7 linked regions of the Macaca mulatta genome follow. The protein of the gene in region 3 purifies or fractionates together with the protein of the main gene of each other region. This does not show direct contact. Links are inferred from orthologs where the notes say so. Each region holds a gene or a part of one and is shown on either strand. Other genes may lie near its edges.

The links.
Region 1: the proteins of OTUD5 (region 3) and MAGED1 purify together in Homo sapiens (affinity purification with mass spectrometry, with the first as the bait; 3 studies listed by BioGRID). This does not show direct contact. The link is inferred for Macaca mulatta from reciprocal best matches to the Homo sapiens genes OTUD5 and MAGED1.
Region 2: the proteins of OTUD5 (region 3) and CNP purify together in Homo sapiens (affinity purification with mass spectrometry; 3 studies listed by BioGRID, with this or other methods). This does not show direct contact. The link is inferred for Macaca mulatta from reciprocal best matches to the Homo sapiens genes OTUD5 and CNP.
Region 4: the proteins of OTUD5 (region 3) and SERBP1 purify together in Homo sapiens (affinity purification with mass spectrometry, with the first as the bait; 3 studies listed by BioGRID). This does not show direct contact. The link is inferred for Macaca mulatta from reciprocal best matches to the Homo sapiens genes OTUD5 and SERBP1.
Region 5: the proteins of OTUD5 (region 3) and CTPS2 purify together in Homo sapiens (affinity purification with mass spectrometry; 3 studies listed by BioGRID and IntAct, with this or other methods). This does not show direct contact. The link is inferred for Macaca mulatta from reciprocal best matches to the Homo sapiens genes OTUD5 and CTPS2.
Region 6: the proteins of OTUD5 (region 3) and KHDRBS1 purify together in Homo sapiens (affinity purification with mass spectrometry, with the first as the bait; 3 studies listed by BioGRID). This does not show direct contact. The link is inferred for Macaca mulatta from reciprocal best matches to the Homo sapiens genes OTUD5 and KHDRBS1.
Region 7: the proteins of OTUD5 (region 3) and EEF2 purify together in Homo sapiens (affinity purification with mass spectrometry, with the first as the bait; 3 studies listed by BioGRID). This does not show direct contact. The link is inferred for Macaca mulatta from reciprocal best matches to the Homo sapiens genes OTUD5 and EEF2.

What each region holds. Positions count from the first base shown.
Region 1 is NC_133426.1:51,813,409-51,816,908, reverse strand, and holds part of MAGED1 (melanoma-associated antigen D1), read right to left. Parts: coding exon 3,473-3,500; intron 2,830-3,472; coding exon 2,161-2,829; intron 2,031-2,160; coding exon 1,967-2,030; intron 1,747-1,966; coding exon 1,667-1,746; intron 1,501-1,666; coding exon 1,409-1,500; intron 1,182-1,408; coding exon 1,102-1,181; intron 1,011-1,101; coding exon 968-1,010; intron 715-967; coding exon 652-714; intron 1-651. UniProt on the Homo sapiens protein: Involved in the apoptotic response after nerve growth factor (NGF) binding in neuronal cells. Inhibits cell cycle progression, and facilitates NGFR-mediated apoptosis. May act as a regulator of the function of DLX family members.
Region 2 is NC_133421.1:66,306,486-66,310,770, reverse strand, and holds the start of CNP (2',3'-cyclic-nucleotide 3'-phosphodiesterase), read right to left. Parts: upstream 2,801-4,285; 5' UTR 2,654-2,800; coding exon 2,651-2,653; intron 2,572-2,650; exon of another isoform or gene 2,226-2,571; intron 1,803-2,225; exon of another isoform or gene 1,587-1,802; coding exon 914-1,586; intron 1-913. Other genes in the region: ODAD4 (outer dynein arm-docking complex subunit 4), read right to left, coding at 4,034-4,285. UniProt on the Homo sapiens protein: Catalyzes the formation of 2'-nucleotide products from 2',3'-cyclic substrates. May participate in RNA metabolism in the myelinating cell, CNP is the third most abundant protein in central nervous system myelin.
Region 3 is NC_133426.1:49,032,498-49,036,775, forward strand, and holds the start of OTUD5 (OTU domain-containing protein 5), read right to left. Parts: upstream 2,801-4,278; 5' UTR 2,012-2,800; coding exon 1,418-2,011; intron 1-1,417. UniProt on the Homo sapiens protein: Deubiquitinating enzyme that functions as a negative regulator of the innate immune system. Has peptidase activity towards 'Lys-48'- and 'Lys-63'-linked polyubiquitin chains. Can also cleave 'Lys-11'-linked ubiquitin chains (in vitro).
Region 4 is NC_133406.1:173,177,831-173,181,920, reverse strand, and holds the start of SERBP1 (SERPINE1 mRNA-binding protein 1), read right to left. Parts: upstream 2,801-4,090; 5' UTR 2,699-2,800; coding exon 2,386-2,698; intron 1-2,385. UniProt on the Homo sapiens protein: Ribosome-binding protein that promotes ribosome hibernation, a process during which ribosomes are stabilized in an inactive state and preserved from proteasomal degradation.
Region 5 is NC_133426.1:16,359,437-16,362,936, reverse strand, and holds part of CTPS2 (CTP synthase 2), read left to right. Parts: intron 1-2,864; coding exon 2,865-2,981; intron 2,982-3,127; coding exon 3,128-3,211; intron 3,212-3,500. UniProt on the Homo sapiens protein: Catalyzes the ATP-dependent amination of UTP to CTP with either L-glutamine or ammonia as the source of nitrogen. Constitutes the rate-limiting enzyme in the synthesis of cytosine nucleotides.
Region 6 is NC_133406.1:208,851,414-208,854,913, forward strand, and holds part of KHDRBS1 (KH domain-containing, RNA-binding, signal transduction-associated protein 1), read right to left. Parts: intron 1,634-3,500; coding exon 1,509-1,633; intron 407-1,508; coding exon 290-406; intron 1-289. UniProt on the Homo sapiens protein: Recruited and tyrosine phosphorylated by several receptor systems, for example the T-cell, leptin and insulin receptors. Once phosphorylated, functions as an adapter protein in signal transduction cascades by binding to SH2 and SH3 domain-containing proteins.
Region 7 is NC_133424.1:4,793,804-4,797,761, forward strand, and holds the start of EEF2 (elongation factor 2), read right to left. Parts: upstream 2,801-3,958; 5' UTR 2,726-2,800; coding exon 2,723-2,725; intron 1,704-2,722; coding exon 1,489-1,703; exon of another isoform or gene 1,469-1,488; intron 675-1,468; exon of another isoform or gene 595-674; coding exon 413-594; intron 322-412; coding exon 110-321; coding exon of another isoform or gene 42-109; intron 1-41. UniProt on the Homo sapiens protein: Catalyzes the GTP-dependent ribosomal translocation step during translation elongation.

The sequences.
Region 1 (3,500 bases), about 2.8 Mb from region 3:
ATGCCATTGAACTCCAGCCTGGGCAACAAGAGTGAAACTCCATCTCGAAGAAAAGAAGAAAAGAAAAGAAGAGAAGAGAAAAGAGAAGAGAAGAGAAGAGAAGAGAAGAGAAGAGAAGAGAAAAGAAAAGAAAAGAAAAGGAAAGAAAAGAAAAGAAAGAATCTAACCACGAGGAGTATATGCAATAAATACTCCTGAGGACACACGTTTCTGTACGCACAGAAACACATATGCACAGGTACAGTGTAAGAAATGAGCTTGAGAAGGGCTTTCTTTTATTTTTTTTTTGGAGACAGGGTCTCGCTCTGCTGCCCAGGTTGGAGTGCAGTTGGCATGATCACAACTCACTGCAGCCTCAACTTCCTGGGCTCAGATGATTCTCCCCTACCTCAGCCTCCCAAGTAGCTGGGACTACAGGTGCATGTCACCACGCCTGGCTAATTTTTGTATTTTTTGTAGAGATGGGGTTTCGTCATGTTTCCCAGGCTGGTCTTGAATTCCTGGGCTCAAGGGATCTGCCCACCTGAGCCTCCCAAAGTGCTGGGATTACAGGCGTGAGCCATTGTACCTGTCCAGGAAGGGCTTTCTAAAGCTGACCAGCACACAGGCAGAATCATAGGGAGCAGGAAAAGCCCCTTAGGCATCACTTACTTTTGCTTTACAAACTCGTAGGTGAGAAGTTTCCTTAGATCTCCAAGGAGGGGATGTCTCACCCTGAAGGTAAAAAAAGGAAATCCACAATCAGAGGCTATTACTATGCCCAAAGAGCTTTCCAGAACAGAGGTCAGAGATGAGAAAAGAGGCAGAGAGTTCAGAACTGTTCCCCCATCCACCCAGGTTACATCTTTGGGCTCTGAACATCCCCAAACCAAACCCTCCAGACCCCCAGGTTAATGCAATCCTGGGACCATCCACTGTTGCCAAAGGATGGTACAAACGGGTAAGAGATGAGAGAGCCCAATCATACCCAGGACGCAGTCCCATCTTGCGTAGTGCCTCCCAGAGGACAGCTGCAATGGGAGGCAAGGGGAGACAAGGGACGGAAAATAAGCATGGAAATCAGGCTGTGGCCAACCCCCAGCTGCAGGTCCAGTCACTCACCCTCACTGGCACGGTTGCCATTCATGAAGATGACACCCAGAATCACCAAGAGGAGACCGAGCTTGGGTGTGTCTTTGGTCCTAAGGGAATATAGAAAGAATGTATTTTCAGCAGCCATTTGCATGAGAGACCCCAACCAGCTTACCCATCTAGCCTCCCCAGTATTCCTCAGCTAGGGGAGAATTATACCCCAGCTCTGCCCATGACCTGCTATGTGACCCTGAACCCTGGACCCTGATCTATGTGAAACTCCTAGAAAAAAAGCACCACTGAGAAAGGCCATGCTCCACCTTCTTTCCCATCTTACGTTCCCAGTATGCCAGCCAGGGACTCGGGGGTACTGATGAGAATATACAGGTGTTCTTCTTTGTCAATTTCTTTCAGCTGAATCCCAAATTTCTACAGGGACAAGAAAACAGACCATGAAATTACAACATCTAGCATAAGCTACCCATAGGCAGACACTCACCTCCCTGAGACTTGCCCTAAACTCCCAATAGGAACCCCATGAATCTTTGAAATCAACTTTCCCCATTATTCCTGTCCCCCAGGGCTGCCTTCTCACCTTCTCTAGTACAAAGCATGCACGTTCAATGATTTCTGGATAAACATCAGTGTATTCACGGATGATATCTCTCAGCATTTCTGTAAGAGAGAGGAGGGAGCCATCTGAGCCGAGTGGAGGCCACAGAGCAGCAGTCCCTTTGCCAGCCTGTGGGTAGCACAGTCAAGGTCCTCAAGGGTGAAAAGAGCCAACCATGGAAAGGAGGGGACAGAAGGGGAAGGGTCATACAAGCAGAAGAACACCAACAGAGCATGGAGTGAAGGGAAGGGTAGAGCTTGGGGAGGGGACACGGATGCCTACCTGAGCGCTTGATGGGCACCTTTGTGTAGTCCTTAAGCATCAAATACTTGACCAACTTATTTGCCTGGGAGGGAAAAAGGAAATCATTAAACTTATAAGATATTTACAAAAAATCTTGGTTGAATTATAGATGAGAGGGTGACAAAGAAAAGAGCAAGAGAGGGGAAAAGTGACTGGGGAGTTACAGCTCTTACTCTTTCCTGAAGAAGGGCCACATCTCGGGGCTGTGCAGCACCCGGGTTCTGTGAGGCACGCGAATTGGGGGAAGGGCGCAGGTTAGGCGAGGGGCGCAGGTTCTGCCAATCAGGTGGAATTGGCCAATCAGCGGGGATCCAGTCAGGTGGTAGTGGCCAGTCAGTGGGAAGTGGCCAATCGGGTGGCAGTGGCCAGTCGGGTGGTAGCGGCCAGTCAGGAGGACCTTGCCAGTCTGGAGGACCCTGCCAGCCTGGTGGGGTCTGCCATCCAGGTGGGGTCTGCCATCCAGGTGGATTCTGCCAGGCCAGTGGATTCGGCCAGACAACAGGGCCAGGCCAGACAATGGGGTTTGGCCAGATCACTGGGTTCTGCCAGATTACTGGGTTTGGCCAGATCACTGGGTTCTGCCAAGCAACTGGGTTCTGCCAGGCTGGTGGGGTCTGCCTAGCTGGAGGGCTCTGACGTGCTGGTGGGGTCTGCCTGGCTGTCTGGTTTTGCCAGCCTGAGGGGTTCTGCCAAGCCAACGGCGTCTGCCAGAGCACGTTGGGGGGTGCGCCAGGTGGGTTCTGAGTGGTCACTGGAACTGGTGCAGACCTCCAGGTCCCTGCAGCCAGTGGGGCCCGCCTCTGATCCCCACTGCTGTTCTCTTCAACATTCAAGTTATTAATCTGTATCATCAGAGAGAAGAAAAGTTCAGAATCACCAGTGGGTTCTGTGTCCTTACCTTATCTATTCCAGGAATGCCCTCTAAACCCTCACCTGTAGTGACAGCCTGACCCACTAGCCATTGGTCACCCTGAGTCCTGGGTTTGTCTTTCACTGTCTTCCAGGCAGGAGTTTCATCTCCGAACCAGGTCAGGAACAAACCAAAGATGGGGACTGAGGCTTCTCCTCTTCCTATGTCCACCACTGGCTCTGTCTGTACCACCCTGAACAAATCACTCAAGTCACTTCACTTCTCTGCCACTTAATTTCCTTCTCTGTAAAATTGGGACTATGATCCCTACCTGGTAGGAGGTGCCTTTAAGATTTTATGAGACAACCCGTGTGAATGTGCCTAGCTCAAGGCTTAACACACGGTAGTTACTAACACAATGTAAACTGAATTACATACAGGTTGTATATATTATTTGTGCCCATGTATTATCTCCCCATCAGTTTGTGAACACCCGGAGGACAGGAATAAACATTCTCTTCAAATGGCCTATAGCCTAGCTGAATACAGTTACATACATTGTTTTGAACAAACGAACACCCTCAGAGAAGAAAGGAGAGAGCCCCAAAGCAAAGTGAAGCTAGCAGGGATCTCACCTTGCGGGTCCTCTTGCCCCGAATTATT
Region 2 (4,285 bases), on a different chromosome or scaffold from region 3:
GAGGCTGAAACAGGAGAATTGCTTGAACCTGGGAGGCAGAGGTTGCAGTGAGCTGAGATAGTGCCACTGCACTCCAGCCTGGGCGACAGAGGGAGACTCTGTGTCAAAATAAATAAATAAATAAATACAATTGGGGGCAACCAGAAATGGCCTAAAGGCATATAGATGGATTAGTGGGTGACATTTCTCCAACAGGTCACTGCAGGAGAGCCACCAGGACCCCTCTTTATCCCAAACTTACCATTGGAGCAAAAAGCCCATGCCAAGAGAGAACCCGGCTAGAGTAGCCAGAGTCCAGGGTTCAAGCCCGTAAACCCCACATCCCTCCTGGGCCCGTGTTTTTCCATCTGAAAACAGGTTTTGGCCTAAGTGTGTGTCCTCTGGAGCTGTAAGATGCCACAAACCCATGAGTAAATCAAGTAGCCCAAGGCCTGAGAACCATCCCCAGTGAAGCCACAATAGTCCTAGTTTTAATTTTTTTGCAGCTTACAATTTCATGTCATTATTATTATTTTGGAACATTATTCTGCTGCTAAAAATGAGTTGGAGAACACTGGGCTTGATTCCCCCTCTAAGGTTACATTAGAAGAGGACTATTTCCTGTTACTACAGTTTTTCCGACCTCCAAGACGGGACGGTGGTCTACATTCAACCTGGGAGAAGGGTGTCAGAGAGAAGAGGGCTAGAAGGAAAGGTGTAGTAGGAGGAAAGGAGCTCTGGGAAGCCCCCATGTTCCCAATGTGCTGCCAACTCCCCAAGGCTACCACTGGGACATACTGCTTGCCCCTGCCCGCTCTGAGGTGAGCCTTTCTCTGCCTCCTGCTGCTTCGTGCCCCACCCTATGGTCCTATGCCCACAGCGCCCTGTGCCCAGCAAGGTAGGCTTATGAGTAAGGCCCCACCCTGCCACCTACATTGTCGCAGCTCCTTCTTGAAGGCCTTGTGGTTCCCCAGCTCTTCCAGGAAGACCTGGCCGGCTTTGCGGAGGATCTCGGAGCTCTTCTTGGACAGGAACCAGCCGAAGTAGAGCGGCAGGAAGTCCTTCTCCAGCCCAGGCTTCAGCTTCTTCAGGTCATCAGCCGACAGCTGCCACTGGTTCTTCTCCTTGAGCTGGGCACAGTCCAGCCGCCACGCCGTCTTGGGCTCCACCAGCACCACCTGGTACTGGTACTGGTCGGCCATTTCAAAGAGCTGCTCCAGCCGTTCCCGCTCGTGGTTGGTGTCATCTAGCACAAGAATTCTGATATCCCGGCGGCGGCAGTAGGCAGCCAGGTCCTCATCGAGCCGCTTGTACTCCTCGGAGAAGGCTCCTCGAGCGCCGGGGGTGATCTTGTAAGCGTCGGCCGACACCATCTTGGTGCCATCACGGTACTTGTCCACGATGGCCCGTGCCAGCGTGGACTTGCCGCTTCCTGGCAGGCCGCGCAAGATAAAGAGCGTCTTGCACTCTTGCAGCGTGGCCACCGTGTCCTCATCCTGAAGGAAGGGAAACTGCAGCTCAGGCTTGTCCTTGGCCCCTGAGGATGACATCTTGCGGAAGAAGATCTTGGGCAGGAATGTGTGGCTTTTTCGGGAGAAGCCTCTGTTCTGTGTAAGGAGGGGAAGAGATGTCAGCCCAGGTCATTCGCGGGCTCCCCGCCGGCCTTACCCCTAGTCCCTAGACTGGGTGTGGGTGCCTTCCGAAGCAGGGCAGTGCTGGACCTTCTGTCCCTTTCGGTCCGGGAGCACCTTTCCGCTTCTGGTCGTGGAGGAGGAAGAGGGAAGCTTGTCTGAAGCTCTCCTAAGCGTGCGCTTTCCCCATTGCTGCCACCTCGGAAAGGAAAACGTGCTGGAGGCATGCAGGGCGTGCCAGGAGCCTGCGGTTCTGGGACTGGCCTCACTCTTATATGCTTGGCACCTACTAAGGACGTCTTCTTTGGAGGTGGGGGTCTCTGTGTCTGGGCCAAGCCACAGCTGCCACGGCTGAGTGCACAGAGAAGGGTGGGGAGTGGAGAAGGGTTACCCCAAGACTGCCTCCCTTCCCCCAACAATGGCCGCAAGAGATAATACTCTCTTGTCTGGCATGCGGGGACAATGGTCCCACAGAAGGGCTGGTGGGGGGCAGGGCAGGAGAGCACTGGACAAAGGCCCTCTTTCACCGAGCCTGCCACCTCCTCCTCTACCCTCTCCCGGCCCCCACAAAGTCGTGGTCTTTGTGCCTGTCCAGGACAAGGCAGCACAGGGCACCTGCAATCAGGATCCAGCTCTGCCCGCCGCTGTGCTGTGTGTCTGAACCGCCTCTCGGAGCCACTTGTTTTCCTATCTTCTAGAAGCCACAAGAGAGGGCAGCTTTTACCGTAAAGGGTCCCCTCCTCCGAACTGGCTCCGCCTCCCGCGCGCACCCGGGCGCGGGGCAGCGGTTCCGCGTGATGAGACGGTCCCGAGTCCCCTCTTGAGGAACGCTACCGTTTCCCTCTCCAGCGGCCTCTCCGGCACTCCGAACCCCCCGCCCAGCTTCTTCCAGACCTCAGGGCTGCCCTGAGTACCAAGACAACTGGAAGTCGAGCCCGGAGCCCCGGGTCCTCGTTTGCAAGACGCTTCCTGCCGAGGGGCCCCGACACTCGTTTCCTGCCCCGGTGCTACCCCGTGCCCGGCCCCGCCTGGCCTCTCACCATGATGAGGAGGGGCGCCGCCGTCGCCGCCTCTGTCGGCACCAGCGCTCCGGGGCCGCCCGCCTGCGCGGAGGGACACGGGAGTCCAGCGGTGGCACGACCCGAGCCCGGCCGCTTTACATAGCCCGGGGGCGGAGCGGGCACCCGGGCGGGCCGGGGCGGGCCGTCCCCTCTGCGCGCAGGCGCTGCGAACCGAAACCCGAAACTCCCGCCGCGCGCGGGAACCCCGGCCCGGCCCCGCCCCCTGCGCGCGCCCGCCGCGCCACGCGCACCCACTCACTGCGCCTGCGAGCTGGACGGCCGCTACCTTTTTCTGTGTGTCGAGGGGTAACTCAGTCGCCCTCCCCGGTCCCGTGGATTAGCAGGAAGTGAGTGAAGCAGGGTCGTGCAAGGTTGGATCCTATCTTTAATTTTTGATATTTTATTCATCATGGACTTTTGCATTAATTAAAAACTTTTTTTTAAACCACATTGGATTAAAGTATTATGCAATTTGCTGGCATCCCGGTAAACTCTGCATCTGAAATGCCTCACTGACCTCGTCCGGTCCCTGTGCCAGCCGAAAGTCAGTCTCAGCCCCGACCTTTCCTTCTAGAAGTTGTGGAGACAGACCAGGATGGCAATGGCCAAAGGGACAGATGAGTAACGGAGTGAAATCCTAACATCCTCTGAGGCCAGATGCTCAGCTGCCACCACCTCTGTGAAACCACTGAGAGCTCCGTTGGATTTTTGAGTTTCTTGTACCAAGTGCTGTGCTAAGCACTCAGTCCTCGCAGCAACCCCTGAGGCAGGTATCCCATTGTTCAGAGAAGCCAGCTTGGCGAGCCTGATTTACCTGATTGTGCCACCCAGAGTTGTCAGAGGTGGAGTCTGTCTGCCCTCCCAGGCCACTCCCCTATCTTTGGCCTCAGTCCCAGCATTCGCTTAGTTCTGGCTTGGGGCATTCTCCTGCCTGTGCTAGCTGGGGCCACCCCACCACTGTTCCATCCATAAAGCCTCCCGGTGTCCTGCGCACTGGAAGGACTCAGTCAGTCACCGGTGTCTGGGAAGCACCTCTCCTCCCAGGCCTTCCCCTCTCCTCCTCCCTGTGACTTCTCATTCCCTGAAGCTCCTGTATCTTCACCCTCCTGAAACCCTTTCTTCTTGGCACCTTTCTCTCCACGAGGCTCTTCCAAGAATGGGCAGGGGTGAGGAGACAAAGTGACAGACTCAGGGTTTGCAAGAGTGAAAGACACCTATTTAATGGCAAAATAGTGACGGAAAGCAGCACAAGTAAAACCCTCATTTTTCCTATTACAGATAAATCGCTTGAAAATCCAGTTTAATAAGATCCCGTTATCCCTCTGAACACCAACTTCCTGATCCTTATCCCTACCGGTGTCTTCATTCATACTCCTTTTCCATCTCATTTTCTGTTTTTTTCATTTCTCCTATTTCCCCAAATTGTGTTTTTCCCAGTTCTTCTGGCTCTCTTCTGCCCACTTCTGAAAGTTTATTTAGTTCTTCTGGTTCCTGTCTGCTGAACTCTCCTGAGAGTCTTTGGCCTAATTCTCCTGAAGGCCTCCTATAAATTTCTCTTGACTCTCTTCTGCCAGCTTCTAGTAGCTTCCTGCCTGTTTCTCCTGATCTTGTGCC
Region 3 (4,278 bases):
GCAGAGATCTGTAGGGAGGCCCCAGACATGATCTCTGGGATCCCATGTTGCCCATGTCCCCTGAGGAGTAGTCTCAGGCTCAAGTTCCCAAGGCAAGGGTCATATGTCCCTGACAAGAAGCTTAGGCCCAAAGAGGGGAGGGCCTCAAACCCCTGTTACAAAAGGGAAAATGAGATACTGTATCCCCAAGGTATGTTTCAGTCCCTTATAATTGGGGTAAAAAGGTCACATATGCTTGTGGGGTAGGGAGTCTCGGACCCCCAAAACCACTCAGACACTAGTCTTAAGAAGAAGAATCTCCTAAGGCTTCACCTTGTCTGAGACCTTTGCAGCAGAACACCACGCCCCCAAAGAGGCCTCAGACTCGGTCTCTAAAAACCTCAGTCCATAAGCAGATAGATCTTAGGCCCTAGGATCCAACGCTGTGAGTCTTCATTTTCCTGAAGAAAGGTTCAGGCCCCTGGTGGGGGTGCTGAGGGCCCATCTCTTCTTACAAGAAGCTTAAGATCCTGAAGAGAGTCAGGGCCTTGTCTCCGAAGAGGTAGGTCTCAGCCACTGATAGGAAATGCAGACCTTTGTCACTCAGAAAGCGGATGAGTCTCTTGTACTCAAGTAAAGCTGCTGGTCCTTGGGTGTTGGTTTCGGTCCCTGTCCCCAAGGGCAAGGGAATCATATCTCCCTGCGAAAAGTCTTACATCCCTGGAAAAAGCTTAGAAGATCCCTGTCCTTAAAGGGTGTGTGTGTGTGTGTGTGTGTGTCTGTGTGTGTCAGGACCTTGATTCTACAATAAGGACTCTCAGGCCCCTGAAGACAGACTTAGGACCCTTGAGGTCTCAGGTCTGGCTATTCAGTGGTCCTGTGCCGTGTTACCTAGCGAAGCAGGAGAGGACTGTCCTACATGCAGAGTGTCTTAGACTCTTGAAAGGGCTTAGGCTCCTTGGGGATGTTCAGACCCGATCTCTGAGGTCTCCACCTTATTTGACTTTCCTGGAGGAGGAATCTCAAACTTCTATCCCAAAGGAAAAGAGCTCTTAAGCCACTGAACACAGACCTAGGTCTTTTGGAAGACCTGAGACTCCTGCTCAAGAGGGGCGCGATCCTACCTGTGTCTCTTGGAGAATTCCCACCTATTGGCCCTACAAGATGAGGTCCCAAGGACTGAAATGACGATTACAGACCCTAAAAGAGGCCTCGGATCCCATCTTTAAGTCTGCCACCTTATCGTAGACCTCTAGCCCCAAATCCCTGGAGGGGAGGAAAGAAGGCATCTCACACCCCTACCACCAGAGAAGACTATCAGGCCCAGTGAAAACGCCTAAATCCCTTGGGGCGATCTCAAACAGCCTTCCTTGAGGCTCTTCACAGTCTGGGGGTCCCATCTGCCGTAGCCGCCCACCCCTCATCCCGCAGCTCTTACCTGCTCGACAGTGGCAGGGTCCATAGCCTCGATGCGTGCTGCAGCCGCCTCATACTCGTCCTCACTGTTGTAGCCTGCGCCGACCTCCTCACGCTCGGGACTGCCCCCGCCAACCGCGCCAACCCCGGGAGCTTGACGTCGCCGCTTGCTGTGCCCAGGCCCGGAGCAGCAGCCGCCCACGCCTACGGCACCACCCACACCCACCACCACGCCCGCGGCACCCACACCCGCCGCCGCTGCGCCCAGCGCGTCGCCGGGACCGCCGCCGGGACCACCTGGGCCCCCGCAAGGAGGTGGAGAAGCCTGTTGTGGCCGGGGACCCGCCACTGCACCAGGCGGCACGGCCAGCGCCCAGCGATGAAGTGCGCCCGGCGGTCCTGGTAGCGGGCCTTGAGGCGGTGGCGAAGCTCGCGGACGGGCCCCCACGACGCCGGAGTCACGGTCGCGATCGCCGCCGCCCACGCCCGTGCCGCCGCCGCCCACGCCCACACCCCCGCCGCGCCGCGGCGCCGGGGGCAGCGGCCCGGGCGGCGGCGGCTCGTTGGCGGGGTCGGCGTCGGGAGGCGGCGGCTTCTTTTTGGGGAGTATAGTCATGGCTGCACCGCCGAGTACCCCCCAACAAACCCGGCGCGAGGCACGCCGGGAGAGAACCCGGATGAGGGGGGGCTAATGTAGTGCGCTAAGCACGACGGGAACGGCGAAACCCGGATAAAGGGATCGCGGCACCGGTTCGAGAACCCTCGGCGGCGGCGGCGGCGGCGGCGCGCGGGTCACGCCGGGAGGAGAACCCGGATGTAAAGTCCAAGATGAAGGCAGTGCGGCGAGTTTGTCGGAACCTTCTCTCCAAGTCCAGCAAATTTATTGCTACGCTTGTTCCGGCCTTCTGCTTCAAAGGAAACAGAACCAAAACAAGCACCTCTTCGCTCCGCCCCCTCGCAGGTTCTTGCACTACCGGGTGGGGCCCCGGGGCGCTGCGCACGCGCGCCAGGGCACAGCCCCGCCCCTTGCTCGGAAGTACGTGGGCAAAATCGCCGCCGCAGCCACAACAATTGCGAACACCAACCAATTGAGCAGCTGCGTGGGTCCTCGACGACGCCCACGGGCCAATCACAGGCGAGTGCTCGCCCTCCGGTGCCCTCCGTCTCAAATTTCAGTCAAAGTCGACACCCTGGTTCCCAGCCTTTCTCCCCGTCGGTCCCGTCTTGCTCTTCACTTTTCTCCCCGAAGCTCTGACTCGCAGTCGTCGGTACTGCGGACGGACAGCGTGGCCTGTCCCACGTACGACAGGAAAAACACCTCCCCTCCAGGCTTCCAACTTGAACGCTGTCAGCCGGAATGACTGGAAAACATCAACACTCCCAGAGCATAGCATTCCCCTGTAGCGTCACTTCCGGTCCCACCCACCTACAAATATCCTTCCGGGGGAGGCGGACACCGCTTCACCCCGGCAACAGCCTGAGTTCTGCGGTGATTGGCTAAAAGACGCCGTCACTCGCGTCATACCGACCAACCTTGGGACAGACAAGCACCGTGGGGACAGTGGTTGTTTGGGAAACAGACACGCCTTCTCTGGCACCACAGCACTCTCGCCCTCGGGTTGACCTCCCCGGCCCTATGGCTAGTGCGCAGGCGCGGCCCAGCCTTTTTTTTTTTTTTTTTTTTTTTTTTTTTTTTTTCCCCCCCTTCTAATCGAGACGGGGGTCTCACTCTGTCGCCCAGGCTGGAATGCGGTGGCGCGATCATAGCTCACTGCAAACTCCAACTCCAAGGTTCAAGCGATCCTCCCGCCTCAGTCTCCCGAATAGCTGGAACCGCAAGCGCGCACCACTACGCCCGGCTAATTTTTTTTTCACTTTTTTGTAGGGACAAAGTCTCGCTATGTTGCCCAGGCTGATCTCCACCTCCTGGGCTCAAGCGATCCTCCCGCCTCGGCTTCGCAGAGTGCTGGGATTACAGGCGTGAGTCACCGCGCCTGGCCAAGCCCAGCCTTTTTCTAAAACTGAGTTTGCTTGGGTCGATCGAGGTTTATGAATCAGCTCTGTCACCAGTCAGCGTCTCGAAATGGGGTTGGCAGAATCCCTGCTATTGAGTAGCTGGAGAGCTACACGCTAATTCTAGCTCTGCGCTTCCTGTCTGATTGATCTTTGTCAGTCATTTAACTCCCACCCCGTCCTCAATTTTTGTTATTGTTGTTTACTTTTTTATAGAACGCTTCACGTATTTGCGTGTCATCCTTTCGCATAGTGCCATGCTAATCTTCTCTGTATCGTTCTAAGTTTAGTATATGTGGTGCGAAGTGAGCACCCATCCTCAATTTCTATTCTATAAATTGGCAATGATAATTCCAATCTGAGGATCAGAGATTAATGCTTCTGAAGGGCCTGGTGTTGTGCCCAGCACATAGGAAGTGTTCAATAAAGTAGTCTGCATGGTGGTGCAGTGGAAGGATCGTAGGCTTTGGAGCCAGAAAGACCTCAGTTCCAGGCACAGATGGACCATTACCAACTGTATGATCTTGAGCAAGTCATTGTGTTGCTTTTGAGATTACCCATGTGTAAAACGGGAATGATAATGCCTGCCCAGACTACCTCAGGGAATGGTTATGGGGTTCAGATGAGCTGATGAACCAAGAAGGTATTTGGAGTTCACTTCCAGTCTTAGGAGACAAGCCATACAACAGGTTGACTGAAAGAGACCATGGGAAAGCTGTTTTGAGTATAGCCTTGCCTCCCTTCAGATACTAACCCTAGTTGAAGTTCTTCCCTGAAAGGTGTAAGTAATAAATGGGTTCTAAGTAGTGTTTTCTGCTCATGAGACTTAATGGGAGGAGGGGACTTTCATGTTTACCAGGCCTGTTGTGT
Region 4 (4,090 bases), on a different chromosome or scaffold from region 3:
AAATAAATGTCATCAGTAATAAAGTGTACTGGGGTGGAGTTAAGGAGCCAGTCCTTGCAATAATATCCAAGCCACACACACCCAAGTGAACAATAGTTGGCGTCCCCACCCAATATCAATATTAAGCTTACAGAATCTTAGAAACTTAGATTAAACTCACCTAATGAAAAAGACTGACATTTAAAAATGCAAGCTTCTTTTGATATACTTATGTATAACCTGCAAGCTCATTAACTGCACTAGTTTCAGGCATCCATTCTGTTTTAGAAAATTCCTGGTCTACACTCTCAATGACATTCTGCTATCAATTCTCAAGTTCTTCAAATGGGCAAGAGAAGCTACAAAATTAATTCATAAAACATAAACATTAAATATCTGTCTAAAGTATGTCAAGCATTATGTCACAATGTGTTGTCAAAACCACAGAACACAATCAGGTTAACCTTCCTACTATCTGCAGGGATTTTGTTTACAGATATATTCCCAGTAAATAGGACAGTAGAATCTCAAAACGGGTATTGTCCATTCAACACTTTTCCTGTATTTACATGCTTGTATTTTATGCAACTTAATAAGAGTGCTCTGAAATACTGACCTAAGGAAAATGTTGATTGCTAATATGGAATAGTTTTCCCATGGAAAGACTTATTGAATGGTGAACTTAAGTCTTAGTTCTAACTTCATGAAATCATTCCCCACATTTGTCACTTAAAATACTTTTCAGGTAAGAGCTTATTTCTTAGATGGGCTTCATGATCAAAATAACTCAGGCATTTAAACATGCTTCATGTTTTGAACATTCAAAATGAGTGAACACATCTACCTGGTACACACTATTCGTCAGACTCAACTTTTTGGTTTACTTTCTTAAGCTTAAGCATAGTTTAAATAATTACACAAGTCAGCGTTACTTAACACACGAATTAAATGATTTATTTAGGTGTGTTAGATTGCCATAAAGCTTAATTGGCTGAAGAGATACTTGGCCTAAGTGATGTACATGCTTTCTAATACTCCAACTGTGTTTCTCCTCAACCTATAATTTTACCACAAGAATTATTTTCTTTCATTCACCACCTAGGACCGAGGTTCTTCATTCTAAGCCTCATAAAAGTCCTCAAAAAAAAAAAAAAAAAAACCACAAAAACCAATAAACCTCCTAAAACAAATCCCACCACGAGGAAATTGTTTTGATTTTCAAAATTAGTTGAATGTCACAGAAGTCAACAAAAGCTAATGAGAACTCCTTTCAGAGAAGCACGTGGCAGGAAGGGGTAATTTCAACTTTCAACATATAAATACAGCTTTAAAGATTCAGACCTTAGGTCCGACACCTGCTTGCTATTGATCATGCACGTTCTTATCTTCGAACTACTTGCTCTTTTTCATCCGTAACAAACTGGTAATGAGAATGCAAAAATCAAGACAATCCTGTGAAACTCACAGTGCCCTGGAAGCAACTATTAACCGCCAGTGAAACTCTCACCATGCTTCACGCACATGTGGAGGGGGAAAAAAAAAGCTGCAGACTCTAAAGAGCTCTGCTGCGACTAACGCTGTGACAGCCTCTGCACTCACTTTACCCACGAGGCCCAGAGTCCACCATGTGAAAGACTCAGTTTGGGGAGTCGAGAGAGAGAGGATCGTGACTCGAGGACTTTCCTCGGGACGTCCTGCGATCACCAGTCTTCATTCATAATTCCCGCTTCTGCTTAGTCGAGTGTGGCCAAACTCCTCCATTTCCCAACAGCTCAACTCACCCCAGCAAGTTCTGAGAAAGTCCTAACAGTTGAGAGGTGGAGGAGAAACAATAAAGCACACGCGGCACCCCAACCTGCGGCTGACTCCACACGTCCGATGGCCTGGAACGACCCCCTGCTTTTCGGCGGGGATACTCCGCGCCGTCGTGGGACAAGATGGCAGGACAGGAGCCTGAAACAACAGCACCTCAAAGGAGCAGCTCTGCGCAGTAAGCAGCGATGGACCCCGAGCCCCTCCGTAACTACGGCAAGCGTCGGTGAGCGGCCGGCTTCCCCGCACCTCAGTCCATGCGCTCGCCCGCCAAGGAATCCGGCGGGAAGGCAACAGCCTCCCCGGACCCCGAGCGCGCTCGAGGAGCAGCTCATCTCCGACCACGCTCCTCCGCTCACAACCTAAGGCGGGAAGGGGGTGGCTCCGAGAGCCTCGCCGGCGGTGGCTTCAACTTGGGGCTACCACGCTCCTGGCACCTTCGCAGGACCTGGCTTTTGTCGCGTGAAGAAACGTGAGGAAATAGGCGGCAAAGTCTCCCGCGGACCCTCGGAGCTCCAGAAACAAGTGGTAGCCGGCAGCCCTCTCGCTCCTTCCCTCCATCCCAGTCTCCCCCACATTCTGCCCCTGCTTTACCTTCTTTCTTAAGCGCCACGGGCGGCTGCGTCTCCTCTTTCTTGTCAACCACGCCAACGCTGGGGGGCAGCGGGTTCTTGCGGTCTTTCTGGGACTCCTTGCGCAGCTGTTTGCCTGCCGCGTTGGAGTTGGTCTGGGCCGCGGCCTGAGCTGCGCTCTTGGCCCCGGGGCCCCCAACGCCGCCCCCGCCGGCTTCTTTTTTCTTGTTCTCCGCTGCCTTCAGCACCTCGAAGGGGTCCGATTCGTCGTCAAATAACTGGTCGAATCGGTTGGTGACCACGCAGCCGAAGCCTTCCTGTAAGTGCCCAGGCATGATGGTGGCTCGGCGGCGCGTTCCTCCACGGATTGCAGCGGGCCGCGCCGAGCCAAGAGCGCCTGCTTCAGCTCTTCCCACAAGATGGCCGGGCCGAGAGAGGGGGGCCGTCTTCTCTTCCGGCGCCAGGCACACATCCGGGAGCGGCCAGCGCCGCAAGGCACTGTGGGGTGTGTAGGCCAGAGTAGTTTCTCCTGAGGCGACTCCCTGCGTTGGGACTACAATTCCCAGGATGCACCGCGCGACAACTCTTCGCGCGCGCCCGAGAGGCGGGACCCCAAGAAGGGAGTGAAGCGTGCGAGCTGAAGGAGGGGAAGCGTGGTGGTGGGCGGAGTCCTGCCACCTGCTCTGGTCGCCCTTAAACTCTGTAGGTCTTCAGCTACCCTGAAACCAGAAAAACGTGACGGCGTAGCTGACTCGCGAAAGTGCTCTTTGGTTTCACTCACGCTCCCTCGGGCTCAGGCTAACTTTCCCCACCGCTCCGGGAAGGGTCAAGGTGACTCCCAGACCTTACATCTGAGACGCACAAACTTCCGGGGGAGGGGGTGTTGCTGAGACGCCGCGCCGGCAGCGAGTAGGCTGGACCCTGCCTGTGCCAAGTCCGAGCAGCTCAGTCGCTGGAGTGCCCTTTTGTCAGGCTCCACGGTGAATCGAGGCTCTTCTGTCTAATGTGAGGTGGAATACGTTTCCTCTCGCGGGGACGTGAACTAGGGTAGCAGAACTAACCAAAAAGACAAGTGAAACTATCACATGGGAGTGTGGCGCGTCTTTCCCGGGCTTCTCACCGTGTGGCGGCCGGTGTCGTAGGAGTGGTTAACTCCTGACTGTGCAGCGCTAGACACTGGGCAAGCCGCTAGGAAGCACTGTTTACAGAAACGCTGTTACAGTCATTCCAATTAATTGTCCGTTCGTGTCCGGCAAGTCAGGGCTTAGGTGGCTGTGGTGTTAGTCACATGCGCTCAATAAATACCATTTTAGAGCATTTCGAGTGCGTGTGTGCTAGGAGTTGCGGTGAGGGGTGGGAAATATTGAAGTCAATACTTAATAATAACAAAGCATTGATACTAGTTGAGAATATTAAAGTTCATTAAAAGAATACAGTTTGAATGCATTTTAAGCACATTTGGTAGCACCGTGTTTAAATATATCATAATTTTTAAATCCTTTTCCATTAACACAAAATAGCAAATGCATCTCTGGCAGGAGCTATGAATAACCTTGAACTCAACATTGTGTTAGGCAAATAGTTGCCTCTTTTCACAAATGCTGAAACCACTTCAGAGATGAAATGATTTACCAAATTCACACCTCTGTAAGTGCTAGTGACAGGTATTAGCCCAGCCTTCTACCTCCACTAGGAGACCGGACATCAGCTCTTTAATTCAGACTCTG
Region 5 (3,500 bases), about 33 Mb from region 3:
TTTGTATTTTTAGTAGAGACGGGGTTTCTCCATGTTGGTCAGGCTGGTCTTGAACTCCCGACCTCAGGTGATACACCCGCCTCGGCCTCCCAAAGTCCTGGGATTACGGGTGTGAGCCACCGTGCCTGGCCAACCTGGCAAATTTCTAATTTTATTTCTTATTCTACCTTTGGATTGACTTGTTTGCCTTCACAATGATTAATTTAGCACTTAATATGTACTAGCCCTGATGATAGCTGCTAGGGATGTGAGGTTGAGTGTGATCTGACTCCTGCTCTCCAGGACCTCATTGGCTGGATTTTAAATTTTATGGAAACAGGGAAACTGACAAACAGAACCCCTTCTCCATTATAACCCTGATGTTTATATTTGATTATTGGATACTAGTGGTCAACATCTTCTTTGGTTCATTGTAAATTGTGTTCAACAGCTGTGTCTGTGCACCATTTAAGGTTTTGAAGAAGGACTGCCAAAGCTGATTTTCAGTTTTAATCATAGAGGAGCTGTTGAAATGTCTTCAAAGCCATTTTATGAGTGAGACCTCAACTTCTCAGACCAGTGGAGCTGACAGGTTTTATTTATATTAGTACGAGTTATCTTGGCATGAACCTGAAATAATTGATGCTTGTCTTAAAGGAATAACATGTTTCTTTCTCTCTTCTTATTTTCCAAAAAAGAAGACTCAGCCAGGTGTGGTGGTGCAGGTCTGTAGTCCCAGCTACTTGGGAGGCTGAGGCGGGAGGATCACTTATACCCAGGAGTTTGAGGCCGCAGTGAGCCATGATCTCACCACTGCACTCCAGCCTGGGTGGCAGAGCGAGACACTGTCTCTAAAAAAAAAAGAAAGAAAAAGACTCCTTTCATTAAAACAGGCAAAAACAACTTTGCACATCTCATAAATTTGCTGCTGCTTCCATTTCAGCATAAAGTATTGTTATGGGTGATATTTTCCCTTTTATTTGGGGCAACAGTTAACTTCAAACTTTTCCAATAGTTGTATTGAAAGTTTCTGAACACAATAATGATGGTGACCTAGAGGTATGGTAATGGGAACTTCTGAATTAGCAGAGAGACTGTAGTACCACTGTTGACCACGTGAGGGCAGAAGCGGATAATGTTTAAAGTTGGCTTCCTTTTCGCATTCACTATTATTGACCACCCCCCCCAGAGAATCCCCATCAAAACACAGGACGGAAGCATACGGTTTAGTTTAAGCGCAGACCTCTATTTTTCCTTAGAGAAAATAAATGATTTTTAAAAATTAGATTTTGGTGCCTTGTATTTAGTGGGTACTTAGACTCGCTTCTTCACTCCTGCCAAGTTCCTGATTGCATGTGATGTTTTCATTTCGTTGAGTTGTTGTTGTTTTTTAAAGAGACAGTGTCTCACTCTGTCCCCTAGGCTGGAGTGCAGTGGCATGATCATGACTCACTGTAGCCTGGACTTCTCCAGGCTCAAGCAATCCTCCCACCTCAGCCTCCTGAGTGTCTGGGACCATGGGTGCCGTGCCACCATGCCCAGCTAATTTTTTATGTTTTTGTGGAGGCAAGGTCTCACTTTGTTGCCCATGCTGGTCTCAAACTCCTGGGCTCAAGTGATATGCCTGCCTCCCAAAGTGTTGGGGTTACAGGCGTGAGCCACTGCACCCAGCCCTGGCTTTGGTTCTGTTGTAATTTTGGTAACAGGTGCTAGAACACCGTTACTTAGGGCTTATATTGAATTTCAGGACCTTTCTGTCCTGTCCTGACTACTAAAGTAAACCTCCAGTGCTGCCTGCAGGGTACTGGGCTTATGCCCTCATGGGGCTTACAGTCTAGTGGGGTAGAGAGCCAGGCAACAAAGACGGAAATGAAATAGAGGCAACTTGTGCTGAGTTCCTAGGATGCGTACAGTGCTGTGACAAGGGCTAGTGGGATGTAGGCTGCTGTAGGTGGAGGGGTGGGGTCAGAGTCCGCCCTCCAGGGAGGATGCATCTCTCTTGGACTGGAGGATAAAAAGAGGTTGCTGTAGATGAAGAAGGAGGGTAGGAGGCCTTGAGGGGCAGGAAGGAAGAGCATGGAGTACCCAAGAGGCCAGTGGGGAGGGGACCGGATGGCACTGGAGACTCAATGCAAGGGCCAGGTCCTGAGAGCCTTTTGTTGGCTGCATTAAGGAGATTTGATGTTAGTTGTTTTTTTTTTTTTTTTTGAGACGGAGTCTTGCTCTGTCGTCTAGGCTGGAGTGCAATGGTATGATCTCGACTCACTGCAACCTGTGCCTCCCGGGTTCAAGCGATTCTCCTGCCTCAGCCTCCCGAGTAACTGGGACTACTTGGGTGTGCGCCACCACGTCCAGCTAATTTTTGTACTTTTATTACAGAAGGGGTTTCACCGTGTTAGCCAGGAAGGTCTCCATCTCCTGACCTGTGATCCGCCCGCCTCGGCCTCCCAAAGTGCTGGGATAACAAGCGTGAGCCACCGCACCTGGCCTTGTTGTTAGTTTTAATGAAGCAGTGGGCTACTGAAGACTATACATGTGGAGAAATCTTTTATGAAGTTTTATTTTTTATTTTTATATTTTTTCAGAGACAGGGTCTTGTTCTGTCAGCTAGGCTGGAGTGCGGTGGCATGATCACGACTCACTGCAGCCTTGACCTCCTGGGCTCAAGTGATGCTCCTCCCTTGGCTACGAAAGCACTGGGATCACAGGCGTGAGCTGACACACCCAGCCACAATTTAGTGATTTTGAATGTATTTATAAACCTCTGTGTAACCATCAAACTTTAGTTCTCATGCTCGGTTTATTAAGAACTCTTTTTATTAGCTTGTGTACTGTGAGAGATGTGTGGTCATTTGTGTCTTTTTTTGTTTGTTTTCCATTCCCAGCTGGGAGGCACCATTGGAGACATCGAAGGAATGCCGTTTGTGGAAGCGTTTAGACAATTCCAGTTTAAGGCGAAAAGAGAGAATTTCTGTAATATCCATGTTAGCCTTGTCCCACAGGTGGGCTTTCCAGATAAGTATGTGGACAGCAACTTTGATAAGTTTTCCTGTGATATTCTATGTGTCCCGCATTTGAACGTGGGGCACCGTTAATCATCAATAGGAGCTAGTGTCCAGTGTGCTGACGGGACCCCATTTTTTTTCAGCTCAGTGCTACCGGAGAACAAAAAACCAAACCCACCCAAAACAGTGTCCGCGCGCTGAGGGGGTTAGGCCTGTCTCCAGATTTGGTGAGTTGAGGACAGTGGGTAAGTCTATCCCAAAGGTCTCTGGGAGCAGGCCCTTCACTTCTTTTTTGTTTGTTTGTTTGAGACGGAGTCTTCCTCTGTCACCCAGGTTGGAGTGCAGTGGTGCAGTCTTGGCTCATTGCAACCTCTGCCTCCCGGGTTCAAGCTATTCTCTTGTCTCAGCCTCCAGAGTATTTGGATTACAGGCACATGCCACCACACCTGGTATTTTTAGTAGAGACGGAGTTTTGTCATGTTGGCTAGGCTGGTCTCGAACCCCTGACCTCAGGTG
Region 6 (3,500 bases), on a different chromosome or scaffold from region 3:
TTTCAAGTTTTCCCAGACAATCCTACCAATGCACAAGATGCTACTGCTCTGTCCATTACTATGCAGTCAAAAGTCCAAAAGAAAACTATCACCAGGGCACACCTAGGCTCTTCCAGGGTTGCCAAGCAAGTAAATTAACTTGGTGTATAATCTCTTGCACCCAATGCACACTTAAAGGAGCCACATTCTGTACATACACAATATTCTTGCCTCTATAAGGCATCTATACTGCATTCTGGGCAAGTAGAAGGCATTAGGATGTCCTCTTGCCTCACTAATGTGAGCTTACCTTGGCTTTGTCTCTCATTGAGCCCTTTCCCAACACAGAGATCTTTGCACCAGTCTCTTCCTGCAGTCTTTTGATTGTATTCCCTTGTGGTCCAAGAATCTTCCCCACAAAATTGAACTGACAGAAAATAAAGGATTTCTAAATATACATGCTACTATATAAAAACATCTCCACATAAATTACCTCATTTGATTTTAAACAACCCTGCAAAGGTAGAGTATTACCATTCCCGTTTTACTGAAGGACGCTGAAGCCATATTAATAAAGTGATTAGTTTAAGATTATGAAACTAGAAAGTGGCAGTTCCTAGACCTGAATTTGGCTTTTCTGATGTATTCTGGCCATCTTCCATAATACACTAAGACCTTTACTATTTTATTTTTTACTTTATTTTGAGACAGGCTCTCACTTTGTTGCCCAGGCCAAAGTGTAGTGACATGATCATGGCTCACCGCAGCCTCGACTTCCTGGGCTCAAGTGATCCTCCCGCCTCAGCCTCTGGAGTAGCCGGGACTATAGGTGCACATCACCATATCAGGCTAATTTTTGTATTTTTTGTAGAGATACGGTTTTGCTATGTTGCTTAGGCTGGTCTTGAATTCCTGGGCTCAAGTAATCTGCCTGCATTGGCCTCCCAAAGTGCTGGCATTACAGGCATGAGCCACTGTGCCTGTTTATGCATGCCTTAACATACATAAACATTGTTAACGCAGTGACCTCAGAGCAGAAGAGACTATATAGCACCCTTTGATAGCACGCTGGATAAACTAAATGTAACTAATTGCTTTCCTAAAAAAAGAAAAAAAAAAAAAGGAAGAAAAAAAGCATTTACTTAAAAGTAAACTTTTAGTAAGAAAATAAAATTAACTTCATCCAATTGAGGATTTGTATTATATTTCCTTTTATTTAGATTTCAGGTTAGTCTTTTGACAGAGAGCAACTCTTCAGGTTTTATTTTTTTTTTTTCTTTGAACTTGTAGCCTGAGCAGTCATTAGAGAAAGAAACTTTTTGATAATAAAAAGATTATTACATTTCCTTCCTGGCTATAACTATGTTTAGTTAAGAACTTAGATATTTCAATTGCCAGAAACAGGTACTGCAAGCATGAAAGAGAAGCTTCACAGGCTTAAGTTTCTAAAGCATCACAATCCCCAGGAGTCCATGACTCTCTCGTAACTATAAAGATAACTCAAAGATGCAAGGCACTTTTTGCCTTACCTTGGGATACTGCTTGACAGGTATCAGCACTCGCTCTTTCAGTTTCATGTTCTTATGAGAAAATAAATCCAAGTAATTCTCTTCATCGTCCTTTTTTGAGTCTCCTTTCTGAATCTTCTCAATTTCTGAACAGGAAAAACAATTTAAATTTTTGCTCTGGTAAATAAAAGCAAATTTTGAAGTCTGCTTAAAGCAATAACATGAAGTACCATATAGTGAGACCAAATAGTACACATGAATGTGCCAATTTCAGAAATAAACTAGCTGAAAGTACTAAAGTTATATGAAGTTGATTAGAAAGCCCAAAGCCTGCTTCTAATAAAAGTAGTGTGCTCTTCTAACCTCACCTGAAGCCTCACGTGAGAATAGAGACATTTAAATGTTTCTTAAATCGATTTAACAAAATTAATTGGGTGAGATGGGGAAAGGAGAATAAAGAAACAAACAAAAAATTAAAATCTGCATCAAGACAAAATATAATCTTACCTTGAAAAAAGCAAAAATCAATAATCTAAATATACAATGGATAGTTCCATTAAAGTTCCACAGTGACATTAGTACTCTAGATACTAGTCCTTAAGAGTCTGAAAGACCTTGTTCTTACTCTGCTACTCACTAGTTGTGTGACGTAAGAGAAGTTAATAAAATATGTAGATATGCCTAATTAAAGGCAATTTTTCATAAAGTACTTAATATATTGTCACCATTATCTAGCCCAAATTCAGCCAATGTCTAAACGATACAAAATGCACCAGGTACTTTTTTGAGACGGAGTTTCACTCCTGTTGCCCAGGCTGGAGTGCAATGGTGCAATCTTGGCTCACCGTAACCTCTGCCTCCTGGGTTCAAGCGATTCTCCTGCCTCAGCCTTCCAAGTAGCAGGGATTACAGGCATGTGCCACCATGCCCAGCTAATTTTGTATTTTTAGTAGAGACGGGGTTTCTCCATGTTGGTCAGGCTGGTCTTGAACTCCCGACCTCAGGTGATCCACCTGCCTCAGCCTCCCAAAGTGCTGGGATTACAGGCATGAGCCACCGCGCCCGGCCCAGCCACAAGGTACTTTCTAAAAAAACATTTTATTGAAGTATAACTGATATGTAAAAACCCATACATAATTAATGTATACAATTCATGATGAGTTTGGAGATAAGTATACACCCATGAAACTATCACCACCATTATGGCCACAGACATATCCATCATCACCCAAAAGTACTTTCAATTCACAGGTTAAGACAGTTTCATTAGATAGAAACTTGGCATACAAAAAGATTTCCTACTGGCCGGGCGCGGTGGCTCAAGCCTGTAATCCCAGCACTTTGGGAGGCTGAGACGGGCGGATCACAAGGTCAGGAGATGGAGACCATCCTGACTAACACGGTGAAACCCCGTCTCTACTAAAAAATACAAAAAACTAGCCGGGCGAGGTGGCGGGCGCCTGTAGTCCCAGCTACTCGGGAGGCTGAGGCAGGAGAATGGCGGGAACCCGGGAGGCGGAGCTTGCAGTGAGCTGAGATCCGGCCACAGCACTCCAGCCTGGGTGACAGAGCAAGACTCCGTCTCAAACAAACAAAAAACAAAACAAAAACAAAAAAAAAAGATTTCCTACCATTAAGGAACTTCATTCATTGAGTGACTGCAAGTGTTTGAGTGCTTCCTACGGTATGGAGAGGCAGATGAAGGGAGAGCTATAATAGGTACAATCATTAATCACTATGGAGGACTTACTAAGAGCCAGGCATCTGTCTTGCAAAGCACAGGAGATACAACAGAGCGAGTCAGACTGGTCTCTGTCTTCACTGTTTATATACTGGAGTTCCCAGACTATAGGGGTGGCAATGAAGTATAGTTAAGTGCTATAACAGGAGTTCTAACAGAGATGAGGGAAAAGTGCCCAAGGAATGAGCAGCAACTGAAAGCTTATATGATTCACTGAGAATAGTTAAAATACATATACTCCCTAAAATCAGTGGAACATTCTAAATATCAGA
Region 7 (3,958 bases), on a different chromosome or scaffold from region 3:
CATTCCTGGCAAAAACACACTTCCAGTCCCCTCAGCTCAACTCCGCTCCCCGCCAGCTCCTGCGGTGCCCACTGCGGCGGGCACACCACCCAGCCAGGGAGGGCCGTACCATGATGTTGCCCATGGGGCCGCTCTCGCCCTCGCCATAGGTGGAGATGATGACGTTCACGTTCTCCACAATGCGCTGGAAGGTCTGGTAGAGCTCCTCGGGCTCCAGCTGCAGCTCCAGCAGGGCACGGTCCATCTTGTTCATCATCAGCACAGGCTTGATGCGCTCCGCAATGGCCTGCCGCAGCACTGTCTCCGTCTGCACACACACGCCTAGGGATGCAGGGCACGGGGCGGCGCTGTCATCCTCAAACAGGGAAGGCCCCGGGTTCTAGGCCCTGCCTCAGGGGGACCCGCTGCTTACCTGACACGCAGTCCACCACAACCAATGCACCATCAGTGACTCGGAGGGCAGCGGTCACCTCCGAGGAGAAGTCGACGTGCCCGGGGGAGTCGATGAGGTTAATGAGGAAGCCGGCGCCGTCCTTGCTCTGCTTGATGAAGTTCAAGTCATTCTCCGAGAGCTCGTAGAAGAGGGAGATGGCACTGATGGAGGGAGGGATCCATCAGGGGGACAGGATGCACACACCTGGCCCAGGGAGGCTGGGATCCTGTCAGAAGCCAGGCTGCTCCTCCCTCCATGACTCATCCCTTGAGAGGCTCCCACAAGACCCAACCCACCCACAAGACCCAACCCACCCTTGTCCTTTGCCTCCACAATACTCTGTCCAAGACAGGCCCCCCGCCCCCCCCACAGGGAACTCCTGGTACCAGCCCCACAGCCAGCGACTCAGAGCCCTCCTGACCAGACACTCTGCCCCACCGACTTGGTCCCCCCAAGACTCATCACACCTGACTCAAAGTAGCAATGAAAAGACCCCGCAGGACAGCAAAAGCCTTCAGAGACTCTGACCCTTCCCTCCTCACTTCTGCCCCTGCTCCAGTGAAAATGAAGAGCTTTAGCCAGAGACCCTCACTATGGTGCCAACCCAGGACAAAAGGCATTTGGGATCACTGTGCTCTGCGCTCACGTTTTAGACTCTCACCCCACTCACGTCAGGGGCCAGAAACTGTCACGGAATGAACGCCATCCAGTGCAACACAAGAGCTTTCCGCATCCTGAGTGCCAGAAACACCCCCCCTTCCAGGTGTGACAGCAAAACCCCTCCAGATATTGTAGGAGTGGCGGCAAGTCCCCCAGGGAAGGAGAACCACTGAGTGAAGCCCCTCCTCAAGAAAATCTTCCGGCTCGCAGTACCCCCAATCCCTGTGACTCTTAATCCCCGTCTCGCTGGACTGAACCTCACTCATTCTCCCATGAATTAAGAAACCAGGAGAAAGAGACGTTGCCTAGTCTCTCCCCGCCCACCCTGGCCCAGTGGCCTCCAGCTGCCAGGCCAGCACCTCCCTGCCTGGGTACAGAGGGCACAGGGAGCTCACGTTGACTTGATGGTGATGCAACGCTCCTGCTCATCCTTCCGGGTGTCAGTGAAGCGTGTCTCCCCGGCCCGGGCCGAGGCGATGATGCCCGCCTTGCACACCAGGGAGTCTGTCAGCGTGGACTTGCCGTGGTCCACGTGGGCGATGACAGACATGTTTCGGATGTTGGCCTTCTTGTCCATGATGGCGCGGATCTGGTCTACCGTGAAGTTCACCTGGGCAAGAAGGGGAGGCTCAGACCAGCTCGAGATTTCCAGGAACACGGCTTGGCATGGAGCGTTCGGTCCAAACGAACCAGCATGCCCAAGGCCAGGAGGGGACTGGTGTTGGGGTACCCGAAGCCCACCCAATCCTGCCAGCCTAACACGCCTTGAGAACTACCCCACAATCTCCAAGGATCCACTGTCAACAGATGTCATCCAGAACGGACAACCCAGAAATAAAAGCGCTCAGAAATAAAACTCAGTGGCAACAGATTTCCTTGATACCGAATATAAACACTAAAGAGTTATTAGAGGCCAAACACGTAAGGGGTGAACCTTCTCCCAAAGCCCCCTCCACGTTGTCATTGGGCCACCCAGGCTTCCCCGACCAAAAACTGTCATAATAAAATGCAAGGTCACCCCTCGGCAAGAGGGATCACACAAGGCCACCCACCCCAGGAGATAACGGGGAGCCGGAACGGCCCTAACAGCCACAAGCCTACACCTCGTGTCTCAAAACGAGTCTTTGCACATTTCGGAGTCACAAGGACAAGCGCCTAGGGCCGACAGTTAACAGCATCAGGAGAAGATATTTGGGAGGAAAAGGGGAACCTTTCAGGTGTCGCTTTGCTGGTTCTGCCATTTCCCTGCCGCCCCTAGTCCCCCGGCAGAAAATCGATCTCAAACTCGCGGCCCGCGAGTTACATAAGGCGCCTCCCCGTCTCCCCGCTTCCACCGCGGTGCCCGCCATTACAACGCCTGCCACATCATCATACCCCACCCCCATCCTCCCTAACACCCCAGCTCCAGCCAGGTCTGGGCAAGGTTACGGCGCCCCCGGAAGCGGAGAAGGGGCTCCGTGAACAGTGCGGCGCACAGACATGGCGGCGACCGCTGCCCCAGCCCCGGCTCCTCCGGCTCTGCCGCCGCTACGTCTCCTCCCGGCACGGGCGGCCCCAGCGTCTAGGCAGCGTCGGCCCCGCGGAGGTCCCGCCGCCGTTCCGGGACACCAGCGAGGCAGGGTTACTCACCATGGTGGCGGATGGCGGTGGATTCTCCCAGGTAGAACCGAATGAAGCGAGCCGCGCCGAGGATGGCGACGACGACGGCGGAAGAGAACGCTGACGTCAACACTCAGCACTTTATAGGCGGACGCCGGTTGGGCGGGTCATGTGACTGCGCTGCGGAGGCGGGGCGAAGCGACGCCGCGCAAGCGCACGGAGGCGTTCCCGCACACCTCCCCCGTTAACCCATTCGGCGCTGGCGAGGCTGCTTTAGGATACAGTCTGGGCGTCTCGGGGATGGTGGTCGCCCTCGGTATGCAGTGTTCAGGTGCACAAAGCAAAGAGCGCCGTTTTAGCTGAGAATAAGAACCATAGCAACGATATCAGCTTACAAAATGTCCAGCACTTCTATTAAAGCCACATTGCAAGGTGAATAGAGTCTGTGGATTTTACCCAAGTCAATTTCCCGGTTTGGGCGTTGTTATGTAAGCCGATATCCCTGGGAGAAGCAGAAGGAAAAAGGACACTCGCGACCACTATACTGTTTTTCAACTCCTTACCTGCAATTATTTCAAAATAAAAAGATTTATAAGAAGCAGGCATCGGAATCACTGATCCCACAAATGCATACTGAGCATCTATGCACCAGGCATTGTTAGAGGTTTTGTAGATACAGCAGTGGACAAAACACCTTGCTAGCTTGACCACACTGCGTGCACTTCTACTAACTACTAAGATTTCTCTTTGCCTCAGTTTCCTCGTCTGTAAATCGGAGGTGATCAATACCACTCTTGTTTGAGGTGGGCTAAAACGAACTAAAGACATCTAAAAGAATTAGCACCGTGCCTGATACCCAACGCTCAATAAACGCTATGTATTTTAATTAGCTAAGATTGCTATTAATAAAACATTTATTTCAGGACTGGTTTGCCATGTCCCAGGCACCCGGCTAAGCGCTTTACTGGCACAATTTCATTTTCTAGTTCATTTCCTCTCCAGGGGGAGGCGCAGGAAGACTGTTTAGCATTTGTGTCCTAATCTGACCCTAAGAAACAGTTGAATGTGTTTCATAGCTCATGAATTGGCATTCAATTGAGTATCTCTATTCCTTATGAAAAGCCCAGCCCGCTGTTTAGCACATAGTAGGTACTCAGTATTTCTTGCATGAATGATGTTCTCGCAGTGCAAATGAACCCCCTGCGGCACGTCTTTCCCTAAACTCACTTTGTGAAACAGAAGAGCCACTGCAGTGCTTTTCCTGGG